Linked DNA regions of Stegostoma tigrinum. The protein of the gene in region 1 binds, or shares a complex with, the protein of each later gene. Links are inferred from orthologs where the notes say so. Each region holds a gene or a part of one and is shown in the gene's direction. Other genes may lie near its edges. The genes, in order: pak4, inka1a and limk1a.

The links.
Region 2: the proteins of pak4 (region 1) and inka1a are in contact, whole or in part, in a crystal structure (PDB 4XBU), measured with the Homo sapiens proteins. The link is inferred for Stegostoma tigrinum from reciprocal best matches to the Homo sapiens genes PAK4 and INKA1. Residues at the interface, in NP_001014831.1 of Homo sapiens: Ser331, Gln358, Arg359, Glu361, Leu362, Thr404, Asp440, Lys442, Ser443, Asp444, Phe461, Leu475, Val476, Gly477, Thr478, Pro479, Tyr480, Trp481, Met482, Arg489, Glu507, Glu512, Phe516, Asn517, Glu518, Pro519, Pro520, Met524; in NP_976248.2 of Homo sapiens: Gly178, Arg179, Ser180, Arg181, Gln182, Pro183, Leu184, Val185, Leu186, Gly187, Asp188, Asn189, Cys190.
Region 3: the proteins of pak4 (region 1) and limk1a are in contact, whole or in part, in a crystal structure (PDB 6WLY), measured with the Homo sapiens proteins. The link is inferred for Stegostoma tigrinum from reciprocal best matches to the Homo sapiens genes PAK4 and LIMK1. Residues at the interface, in NP_001014831.1 of Homo sapiens: Glu329, Gly330, Ser331, Gln358, Arg359, Leu362, Thr404, Asp440, Lys442, Ser443, Asp444, Phe461, Leu475, Val476, Gly477, Thr478, Pro479, Tyr480, Trp481, Met482, Glu507, Phe516, Pro520; in NP_002305.1 of Homo sapiens: Lys505, Arg506, Tyr507, Thr508, Val509, Val510, Gly511.

What each region holds. Positions count from the first base shown.
Region 1 is NC_081392.1:17,174,644-17,178,389, forward strand, and holds the start of pak4 (serine/threonine-protein kinase PAK 4), read left to right. Parts: upstream 1-1,063; 5' UTR 1,064-1,203; intron 1,204-1,318; exon of another isoform or gene 1,319-1,632; intron 1,633-2,502; exon of another isoform or gene 2,503-2,617; intron 2,618-2,776; exon of another isoform or gene 2,777-3,746. UniProt on the Homo sapiens protein: Serine/threonine-protein kinase that plays a role in a variety of different signaling pathways including cytoskeleton regulation, cell adhesion turnover, cell migration, growth, proliferation or cell survival.
Region 2 is NC_081364.1:12,626,499-12,630,244, forward strand, and holds the start of inka1a (PAK4-inhibitor inka1), read left to right. Parts: upstream 1-1,283; 5' UTR 1,284-1,469; coding exon 1,470-1,520; intron 1,521-2,273; exon of another isoform or gene 2,274-2,455; intron 2,456-3,746. UniProt on the Homo sapiens protein: Inhibitor of the serine/threonine-protein kinase PAK4. Acts by binding PAK4 in a substrate-like manner, inhibiting the protein kinase activity.
Region 3 is NC_081380.1:14,146,365-14,150,110, reverse strand, and holds the start of limk1a (LIM domain kinase 1a), read left to right. Parts: upstream 1-808; 5' UTR 809-1,049; coding exon 1,050-1,107; intron 1,108-1,504; coding exon 1,505-1,601; intron 1,602-3,746. UniProt on the Homo sapiens protein: Serine/threonine-protein kinase that plays an essential role in the regulation of actin filament dynamics. Acts downstream of several Rho family GTPase signal transduction pathways.

The sequences.
Region 1 (3,746 bases):
TTGGATGCCTTCAAGGCAGAGATCGACAAATTCTTGATCTCAGAAGGAATCAAGGGCTACGGGGAGAGTGCAGGAAAGTGGAGTTGAAATGCCCATCAGCCATGATTTAAATGGCAGAGTGGACTTGATGGGCTGAATGGCCTTACTTCCACTCCTATGTCTTATGGTCTTATAGTATTTTAAGATCTCAATTACATCTAAAATCAAGAGCATATAAATCTACACTGACATAAGACAAACTCTTTTATCTCTAGAATTAATCTTGTGAGGCTCTTATTAATGGCCCCCAATTCAATGACATCTTTCCTCAAGTAAGTGGTCCAAAAATTGTATGCAATACTCAAGGTGTGGTTTCACTAATGCCTTGTACAGTATTAGCAACACTTCCCTCCTCTTATGCTCTATTCTTTTAGCAGTATATATGAAAATTCCATTTTCCTTCCTTATTATCTGCTCTACTTGCACACTAGTTTTGTGCAATTCATGCACAAGGATACCCAGGTCGCTCTACAAAACATTTTGAGGTTTCTCTCCATTTAGATAAGTTGCCTTTCAGAGAGGGTGCAGCAAAGATACCTTGGATTGATTGCCGGAGAGAGGGGGGTGGGCTGTGAGAAGAGATTAAGTAGAATGGGCCTCTACCCTCTGGAGTTCAGTGGAATGAGGTCATCTCATTGAAATGTGTTAAATTCCTCGTGGATGACAGCGTAGATGCTGAGGTGCTGTTTACTTTAACTAGATCCAAGGGGGCACTGCCTCTGGGTTGAGCTGAGACGAGAATTTCGGTGCCTAGTGGATGAGAACGTGTTGAATTCTCTGCCCGAGAGAGTTGAGATGTGGATTATATTAAAGAACAAAAAGGTCCCTGAGCTTAAGAGAACCATGGCGCGTCTGGGAGATTGTCTGTGACTGATTGAACGGGGGGATTAGGTTTGAAAGGGATATATTTGCCGCAATCATTTTACAATCTGTGTGTGTTCTCGTGTTTCTGCTCCAAAACCTTTCGAGAACTGGATCGAGATGTGAGACCATCATAAAACCAGCAGGTGCCAGAGGGCAGCAATATTTCAGATGGAGACTTTGCTGGTTGAGCGATGTCGGTCGGACGTGTTAGGTCCGGTACAACTAACACCAAGGACTTTAGTCCAGGCCGGCAGGGAGTTAGTATTAGGACAGGACAGTCTTTGTTGTCACACGTACTCGGTGAGTACAGTTAAAAACAGTTTATACACTGCCACTGCGATGTGCAAGTGCCCAGGCTCCTCTCGTTACAAGCTTTACACGATGCAGACCATAAAACCCAGGCTCGAAAGTCTCTCTCTCCCCCCCAGCAATGGATGTTCTCTGGCCCCCGGGGGGGTCCCCTGCACTTGTTTTCAGTACAGAACACAAAAATGTCCAGCTTTACAGAAATAAAAGTTCAGCACAGCCGACCACTTAGCTTCCAGTCCGCGCCGGGGCCTGGCTCTGGAGCAGGCCAGCGACACGACAGCACCACGCCGGGGCGGGGAGTCACCGCTGGGAGCAGGCCAGACGTTTCGACAGACACCGTCGACGGTGACACCCCCTCGATCAGAAATCCTCCGTGTGGTGCTGCGGGAGTGCAGCCCTGTCGCAGGGGCCGCCCCTGAGGTGAGACGTTAAACCGAAGCCAGCCCCTCGGCGCGAGGGGTAGGATCCCGCGGGCACCTGTCCCCGAACATGTTTATCCCTCAGTCAGTGTCTCTAAAACACAGATGAACCAGTTTTTCTCACGTTGCTGCCTCTGGGAGCTTGCTGTGCACAAACTAGTCTCAACTCCCCTCAATGTAGTGACTTAGTCTCTCCCAGTCCTTCCCTACAGGGAGAAGAATAAATCTCTCCCTGTCCACCCCCTGCCCTCAGTCTGAGAATTAGTTTCTCCCAGTGACCCCCCCCAGCCTGAGGATTAGTCTCTCCCAGTAACCCCGCCCAGCCTGTGAATTAATCTCTCCCAGTAAACCCCCAGCCTGAGAATTAGTCTCTCCCAGTGACCCCCCCCAGTTTGAGGATTAGTCTCTCCCAGTAACGCCGCCCAGCCTGTGAATTAATCTCTTCCAGTAACACCCCCCCCAGCCTGAGAATTAATCTCTCCCAGTAACCCCCGCAGCCTGAGAATTAGTCTCCCCCAGTAAACCCCCAGCCTGATAATTAGTCTCTCCCAGTAACACCCCCTAACCTGAGAATTAGTCTCTCCCACTAACCCCCCCAGCCTGAGAATTAGTCTCTCCCAGTAACACGCCCCACCACCTGAGAATTAATCTCTCCCAGTAAACCCCCTAGCCTGAGAATTAGTCTCCCCCAGTAACCCCCCGCCTGAGAATTAGTCTCTCCCAGTAACACCCGCCCAGCCTGAGAATTAGTCTCTCCCTGATTTCCCCGAGTCTGAGAATTAGTCTCTCCCTGATTCCCCCCGCTGCAAGCAGGGAATTACTCTCTCCCTTAACCCCCGTGCCGGGGGAGGTTGGTCTCTCCCCGTTGCCACGGCGATGCGGTTGCCCGGATGCGGCGCCTGCGGTTCGGGAATTCCCGGATGTGGCAGTGAACCCCTGGGAAGAAAACTCTTCCCCCGCAGGCACCAGCAGCCGTAGCCGGACAGGTCAGTCCAAGGGAGGGGGGTGACAAAGGGGAAGACAGAGGGAAAGAGTGGGAGCGGGGGCGTGAGAAGGAGTGGGAGTGGGGGCGGGGCGTGTGGCATGTGGTGGGACGTGTGAGGGGGGAAGAAGGGGGGGAGAAGGGGGCGGGGCGGGGAGGGGGGAGAAGGGGGCGGGCGGGGAGAAGGGGGCGGGGCGGGGAGAAGGGGGCGGGGCGGGGAGGGGCGGGGGGGAGAAGGGGGAGGGGCGGGGGGGAGAGGGGGGAGGGGCGGGGGGGGAGAGGGGGGAGGGGCGGGGGGAGGGGCGGGGGGGGAGAGGGGGGGAGGGGCGGGGGGGGAGAGGGGGGAGGGGCGGGGGGGAGAAGGGGGAGGGGCGGGGGGGAGAAGGGGGAGGGGCGGGGGGGGAGGGGGGAGGGGCGGGGGGGGGAGGGGAGAGGGGGAGGGGCGGGGGGGGAGGGGCGGGGGGGAGAGGGGCGGGGGGGAGAAGGGGAGGGGAGAAGGGGGAGGGGCGGGGGGGGAGAAGGGGGAGGGGTGGGGGGGAGGGGCGGGGGGGGAGAAGGGGGAGGGGTGGGGGGGAGGGGCGGGGGGGGAGAAGGGGGAGGGGTGGGGGGGAGGGGCGGGGGGAGAAGGGGAGGGGCGGGGGAGGGGCGGGGGAGAAGGGGAGGGGCGGGGGGAGAAGGGGCGGGGGGGAGAAGGGGGAGGGGCGGGGGGGAGGGGCGGGGAGGGGCGGGGGGGAGAAGGGGGAGGGGCGGGGGGGGAGAAGGGGGAGGGGCGGGGGGGAGAAGGGGAGGGGCGGGGAGGGCGGGGGAGAAGGGGGAGGGGCGGGGGGGAGAGGGGGAGGGGCGGGGGGAGAAGGGGGAGGGGCGGGGGGGAGAGGGGGAGGGGCGGGGGGAGAAGGGGAGGGGCGGGGGGGAGAAGGGGGAGGGGCGGGGGGGAGAGGGGGGAGGGGCGGGGGGAGAAGGGGGAGGGGCGGGGCGGGGGGGAGAAGGGGGCGGGGAGGGGCGGGGGGAGAAGGGGGCGGGGAGGGGGGGAGAAGGGGAGAAGGAGGGGGAGGGGGGAGAAGGGGGCGGGGAGGGGGAGAAGGGGGAGGGGCGGGGAGGGGGTAGAAGGGGAGGGGAGGGGGAGAGGGGGGAGA
Region 2 (3,746 bases), on another chromosome or scaffold:
ATGTGATTCTTAACAGCCTCTGGGTAATTGGAGATGGACAGCAAATGCTGGTCTAGTTTGAGGCATCTGCATCCCATGACCAAATAAAGGAAAAGCCTGTGTTGATTCCTTTAGCAAACACATCTTGAACCATGTGACTGAAGAGTGAAAACTGAAAGAACTGCGAGTGCTGGAAATCAGAGACAAAAACAGACATTGCTGGAAAAGCTCAGCAGGTCTGGCAGCATCTATGATATCAATTCTGCGGAAGGGTCACTGGACCTGAGAGTTAACTCTGATTTCTCTCAGCAGATACTTCCTGACTCACTGAGCTTTACTAGAAATTTCTGTTCTTGTTTGTGACTGAACAACGAGTGTGCTGCATCCGAGACAGGGCTGATATGAATTATTAAAAAGCAAATTACTGCAAATGCTGGAAATCTGAAACAAACAGAGAGAATGCTGGAGAAACTCACCAGGTTTGGCAGCTCTTTCCACAGACCCTTCCAGATCAGCTGAGTTTCTACAATAATTTCTAATATAAATTACAGTCCTCACCACTGCAACTCAAACTATATATTTCTCTAGCTCTATTCCTCTAATTACAACAACTATTGCGAAATAGTTTAAGAAGTTTTGCTTCCCAGTATGTATGTGTGTGTGACACCATTCCTGGGGTTTCCAAGCTGGGAAGTTGGGACTTCACCCAGATTCTGCATACAAGCCAAAGCTGGAAAAAAAAGCGTGACCTGGAACGTTAACTCTGATTTCTCTCCATAGTGGCTGCCAGACCTGCTGAACTTTACCAGCAATTTCTGTTTCCGTGTAAAAGCCCTCAGACTAATAAAGCAGATTGCTTGTCGGCTACCCCCCCCCCCCCCCGACACACCGGGCCTGTGCACAATTTCTTACGCAGATTTGTCCCGTTGATGAAGACCAGACTTTCAAATGTTAAAAACGCAAGAACTAAAAAAAAGTTGCAGCAGATGCTTGGGAACTTGAATATCGAACGTTCCAATTTTATTTTTTTAAAAGGAAAGTTCACAGCACTGTTTACTAAGCCAAAATATTTGATGCAACACATATAGAAGGAGATTTTTTGACGGGCCCCCTCTGACACTTGGCGGAGTCCCAATTTTTCCACATTGTAAATCTCTGTAAAACAATCTGGTTTAAGATTACAGAACGAGGCGATTGGCCCGACGCTTGCTTCCGAGGGAGGGACCCGAGTCTTGATTGGTTGATTTTTAACTAGGGGAGCCGGGGATTGGGGAGGAGCTTGCGGAGGAAAGCTATATATGAAATAGTCATATGTGTATGCCAGTGTGTCTGAATTCTGCAACAAGACAGAAAAAAAATTGAGGGACTTTTTTTTAAAAAAAGAGGTCAAGATCTAAAGCGAGTGAAAAAGCAGCTGCGATTTCTAATGTAGAGACGGAGATTGTTGACAGGACAGTGCTGGAGGGGCAGCTGCAGTACAGTGCTTGGTGATGCAGGACGCAAAACTGGATGATTTCATTTGTCATCTTCGCAAAGAAATGGTGAGTTAAACAGAGGGTTCATTGGAAAAGCTTCAGCGGCGATTTGTGTCGAGTGTGTTGTAAGAAAAACTCCCCGAATGCTAGCAGTTATTTCAAACTTTGAAAAAAATAGATTGTGGCAGGGATTGGATCACTGCACCTAAAAATCCAGTAGCTTTTGGAACCCTAAATAATTCTTGAGGACAGTTTTTGAATTCTCTGTACTGTGCGTTATTAGAAATTTTTACACTTTACAGGCTTTGGTGCTCAGAAACGAGTCAATGTTCTTAACTTGAGACGATATTGTTTTTCTTTTAAAAACCTTTTTGTTAGGTCTTATGATCTAAGATTATGGGGGTGTCCGGCTGTGGTTATGATTTAGTAACTCCAGTCTTTCACGATAAAAGGAGCCGAGGGTTTAATATAATTAGCAGCTGGAATTGGGTTTAGTCGGGCTAATAGGAGCAGATGCTGTGGACAACGTTTAACTCAAGCGATACACCATTCAGATCGTGAGAACTGACCGTACCCCCCCCCCCCCACCCCACCACCAAAACATCCATGGGGGGGGGGGTGCGGTGGAGGGGGAGCAGTTTGGAAAGAGAATGCAGAATCCTTTGTGAAACAGTGTACAATAGGCCAGGTGAGCTGTAGCATGTCCAGGTGCTCTGCATGAAGCACAGTTAACGTGTTAGTACCTGCCCGCAGCGCCTGTACTACTGGAATGGAATGTTTGAGAGAATCTGACCTTTTTACTCATCTCTAACTCATCAGAAACAGCGAGGGTGCTGCCTTCTCCACAGGGATCCCAGCTCTCCCGGTTAAAGGGGCCTCTTTGAGTTCTCCTCAGAGCTTTGCCGTCAGCGCCAGACGTGCCCGGGAACTGTCCAACGACAGCCATCAGCGCCGCAACACTCGAGGGCTGGTTGGAGAAAGACCAGGTTCCAGGCTCAAACGTAAAGTTATGGCGGGAGGGAAGGAGGAAGAGGTTTTCATTTCCACCCGTTGCATCTTTCACTTTCCCTTTCCCATTCCCCAGCTTGGGGTATTGGGCCAGGGGACGATGTGTCGCGTGCAGCGAGCTAGTTGCAAGGTCGGAGTGATGGGCCAAGTGGCCTCGTGTCCTGAAGTCATTAGACTAAGTATTGACCAGGGATGGAGCCTGGGATCTTGCAACTCTTGATGGTCCATTCCGACACCAAGGTGCATGTATCGGTTAGGTCACCAGAGGGGGCTGAGGGGACAACTTTCAGCCTTCAGCAATTAAATTCCCACGTGTCAATTTTCCTCGTGGAACCAAACTGCAAAAGACATGCAGAGTTTACACTAAATCAAGTGTTACTCTGCAGGAAGTTAACTCCTCCTTTCGTTGAAGTCGGGAACGGTTTAGATATAGGCATTCGGGGCACCTACCGACCCGGAAAAGCTTTAATTACTTCACAGGCAGTATTGTATTTTAAATCAGCGTGTGTGATGGAAGCCTCCAGGATTTGCTGAAGACCTCAATTTAATTTCCAAGCATGTATTGCAAGAATCTGAAGAAATGAAAACCATCTTGGCAGTGTCATTGGAACAATATACATTCTAGATCTCACGATGCCTGCCCTTGATAGAGCTGTAGCTATGGGAGGGGGAGCATAAATAATGCTGGCTTCACACGGTAGAAGTCAAGCAATTTTCAGGACATGATAGGGTTGGGGCTAAATAGATATTCATGTATCCACTATTCAATGATGGAATTACTGTGGGTTTAGTAGATTGGAAGGCATTTTGATTGTATGGGAGAAAAGCAGGTCAATCGACAGACCCTGATATATAGTGGAATGTGGGTGGGCCATTCAGCCCCTCAAGCCTATTCAATGAAATGATGGCCTATCTGAAGCTTGGCTTCACAACTTTCCTTGTTTCCTTTTTTATAGAATTTTGCTTACAATTGTATCAACCTCAAATTTGAAATGATTATTTATCATCGACTCCTTTATGTGGGGAAGTTCCAAACTTCTATCACCTTTTGTGCATAGATAATAAAGCGCATGATTATATGGGATATACAGCAAGATGAAGTGGACTCGATGGGCCGAATGGCCTTACTTCCACTCCTATATCTTATGGTCTTATGGAAATAGGCTGCTTGACCTTCCCATTGTCTCTGCTCCACTAGGGTCTACTTGCAACTTCCCTCAATCTTATCATGCTCTATTCCCTTCTTCCACATACTTGTCAAGTTCCTCAAAATAGATTCATACA
Region 3 (3,746 bases), on another chromosome or scaffold:
GATGACCAAACAGGTTTAGACTGTGCAAGGACAGAAATGACTAAAACCAGAGTAATGATACAGTAGAGAAGATAGCCATTTGACCCATCTTGCCTATGCTGACCCATGCAAGACACCTAGCTGCCCTTTCTAATCCCATCTTCCTGCACATGGAACAATGAAGCAATTATGGGTAACTGCCAAACCATGGTTAAATACTTCAGAGAACACATTAAACAGATGGGCGTGAAAGTCTTGTATTGAGAATGATAGTTATTTAATAAATTCTAATAATTGGGTGATAAGGAGTTCCTGCAACAACCAATTAAACACAGTGTCAGTCTTTAATTTGGTGATGTGCGCGAGGTCTTGCAAATACCGTGTCCATACCTCTCAAGTCTGACCTGTTGTATGCCATACCAATGTTAATATCGTCCCCCAAAACAGCAGCAACTGAACAAATTCAGGGGCGACTGGCTGCATCAAAGTTTCCCATTCATTCGATAAGCCAATCAGACATGGAGCTCAAATACCATTCACATGACATATACCTTTCAATAGATTGAGAGAAATATTTGTGGTTACTCACTGAAATGACTGATAAAAGGTAATTTCTGTAACAATGGTACACTGTCATAGTGCCAGATGATGAACCAAAAAGACTCTGTGAGTTTCAGTACTTTTGAAAATAAAAAAGAAAGCCCGCAGAATGCAATTCTAATGTGAAAGCTGATCATTTTGGGGGTGGGTGTTGAATTGTGCACAATAATACATAGGGTTGCAACGTTCTGAACTGTCTCTGGGGATGTGTGTGTGTGAGTGAAAGAGAGAGAAAGAGAGTATGAGGGAGAGAGAGGCGGCTGTGCTGCAGGAGTTGCATTACTGTGTAGTTTGCAGCGATCCTTTCATCAGGTCTCAGGATCAGCTGCCAGTTGGCCAACCTGCGTCTGTCTCACTCGGTGTCTGCTTGAGTCTAAGGGAGGGAGTACCACAGAGCTGTGGTGGTTGGATGTTCGTTTGGAGCTGGTTCCACATACTCGGCTTCACGGGAGGCAGGCTGTCGGGTCTGGATGTGGTTGATGCTGCTGTGCTGTACCTGGAGGGACGATCGGATGGGAGAGGAGGAGGGTGGGTTGTACTAGACACTGCAGCACTTCTGCCTGGTTTTAATTAAGGACTTCATTGTCCCGAGCTCGATTCAATTGCATGTTATCATTCGAGTTGGTTGGAAACTGCATTTTAGTATATTCCGCCAAGTTCATGCTGTTTGCATTTTTTTTGTCTCTGCCTGTGTGTTTTAGTGGGCTCTGTGCTGTATTGTCTGGCTGCAGGACGCAGGCCTTGCTGGGCTGTATTCGCTTGTATTGTGCTTTGTGTGTCTCTGTGCCTGCAGTTGGTATGGGCCCTGCGTTGTATTGAGTTATTCTGTGTGTCACTGGCCTGTCTGGATGCAGCAAAGATGTGCTCGATATTGGCCTGTGTGCAGTTGCTGGAGTGTGTGCTAACATTTTGTTTTGGTTTGCAGGAGGATGTTTTCCATGCTGTGCAGGATGTGGTCGCTCTATCTATGATGGTCAGTACCTCCAGGCCCTAAACACAGACTGGCACAATGCCTGCTTCAGGTAAGAATCCAGCCCCCCCCTGTGTGTGTGTCCGCGCGCGCCTGTAGAGCCAGTCTGTATCCTTGGACACATCAATAACCTTGGACCTTTATCCTCTGCTCATTTAAAAGCCATGGACTGGAAAGGTGGCTCGGTAACATCACCTCAAGGGCAATTAGGGTAACAATTGCAGGCCAAGCCAGTGTAAACCCATTCTGTTAAACATTTAACAAGGAGGACCCTCAGAACACTAATGGTAATTCCTGTCAAGTTGCCCACGTGTTGGGGGGGGAATAGTTGGGGGTGGAATATTGTAAAAGAATTCTAAATTATTTTTTCCTTTTTATTGATGTGTTACTGAAAATAATTTTTGAACACTGCAACATTGGAGTGGAGTATCATTGTTGTGGAAGTAGTTTGAATTAAGTGTCACAAATGTAATTACAGTTTTATTTCCAGGCAGATGTACAATAATTGTGTACAGTATTGTTAAAACAATACACAATGGATATTTGTGTACCTCCATGCATTATATATATTGAAATAAGTACCATTCGTCCACTGTTATTAACGTTCCCCATGCTATTCTTTTAACAAAAAGACAAAAATAAGGAACATTCAAAAGTTCTGACAGCATCTGTGAAAAGATAACATTTAAGGTTTCGACCTTTTTTTGTTCGAAATGGAATAGAAACACAAACAGATACTGCATGAGAAACCGAGCAAGTCTAGCAACATTTATGGACAAAAAGCAAACATTTCTGGCTCCATGAACCTTCATCAGAACTTGGAGCAGCAAACAAAAGATGGTCTATATGGTGAAGGCAGCGGGTGGGGTAAAGGTAGAGATTGAGCTCGGAGGAGGAGAAAGGCAGTTAGCCGAACAAAACATGGTCTATATGGTGAAGGCAGCGGGTGGGGTAAAGGTAGAGATTGAGCTCGGAGGAGGAGAAAGGCAGTTAGCCGAACAAAAGAATGGATAATGGTAAGCCAGTGAAGGAGAAAGGCTGATAATGTGGACTGTGAGGTGAAAATGGGTTGGAAGTAGCTCATGCGAAGACAAGGCCTCGGTGTGGGAGTTGATAAAGAACAGGGAGGAGGGTGCTGAGGCCCTTATTTTATTTTAGGTTTTGAGTAAGTGGAAGGGGTTGGGAGTGGGGTGTAGGAGTGGATGGTGGAACAAAAGAACTAAAGGATAGGTTGGTGACCGTCAGAAAATTGAATGACATTTGATGTACAGAAGCTAAAGAGAATGGTGATGGAACATGTCAAGAAATAAAATACCTCCAGATGAGGTTCGAATGGTTGGATAGTGATTTTTCGAAAAAAAAATGAAGCAAATTAAAGCTCAACTAATGAAAAATAAACATGAATAGAAATGAAATTGAGGGTGGTCTAGGCCCGAAACGTTAGCTTTTGTGCTCCTAAGATGCTGCTTGGCCTGCTGTGTTCATCCAGCTCCACACTTTATCTTGGATTCTCCTGCATCTGCAGTTCCCATTATCTCTGATCGAAATTGAGGGACAGTTCATATTTTAGAATTGTTGAACTCAATATTGAGCTCAATATTGAGGCTGTGGAGTGCTGAGTCCAGAGAGGCTGTGTTCCCCAGAAATCTGAAGAAGGTCTGGGCCCAAAACGTCAGCTTCTCTGCTCCTAAGATGCTGCTTGGCCTGTTGTGTTCATCCAGTTCTACATTTTGTTATCTCAGATTCTCCAGCATCTGCAGTTCCTATTATCTGTGTTCCCAGTTGTTTTGGGCTTGATTGGAAAGCTATAGCAGGCAAGGATAGGGAAGTCAGTGTGGGAGCAGAGAGGAGGAGAATCCAAGTGGGAAGTTAAAGCTCGGAATCATGCTTGCTCACTGAATGGAGGCGTTTCACAAAGTGATCACCCAGACTGCATATGCTGTCCACCATGTAGGAGAGACCACATCATGTGCATCAAATACAGCACACTGAACTGAAAGCAGTGTGTGTAAATCGTTGATTCACATTGAATTGAATTAGCTTTATTGTCACGTCCTCAAATGAGTACAGTGAAAACTTTACAACTCTCCACTTATGGAACCATCGTAGGCACAAGGGACCTAGGTCCAGATTCCTCAGTACAAGTTCTTAGGAGGGGATAAAAAAGAAAAATAAAGACTTAGAAGGTCAAGCATTG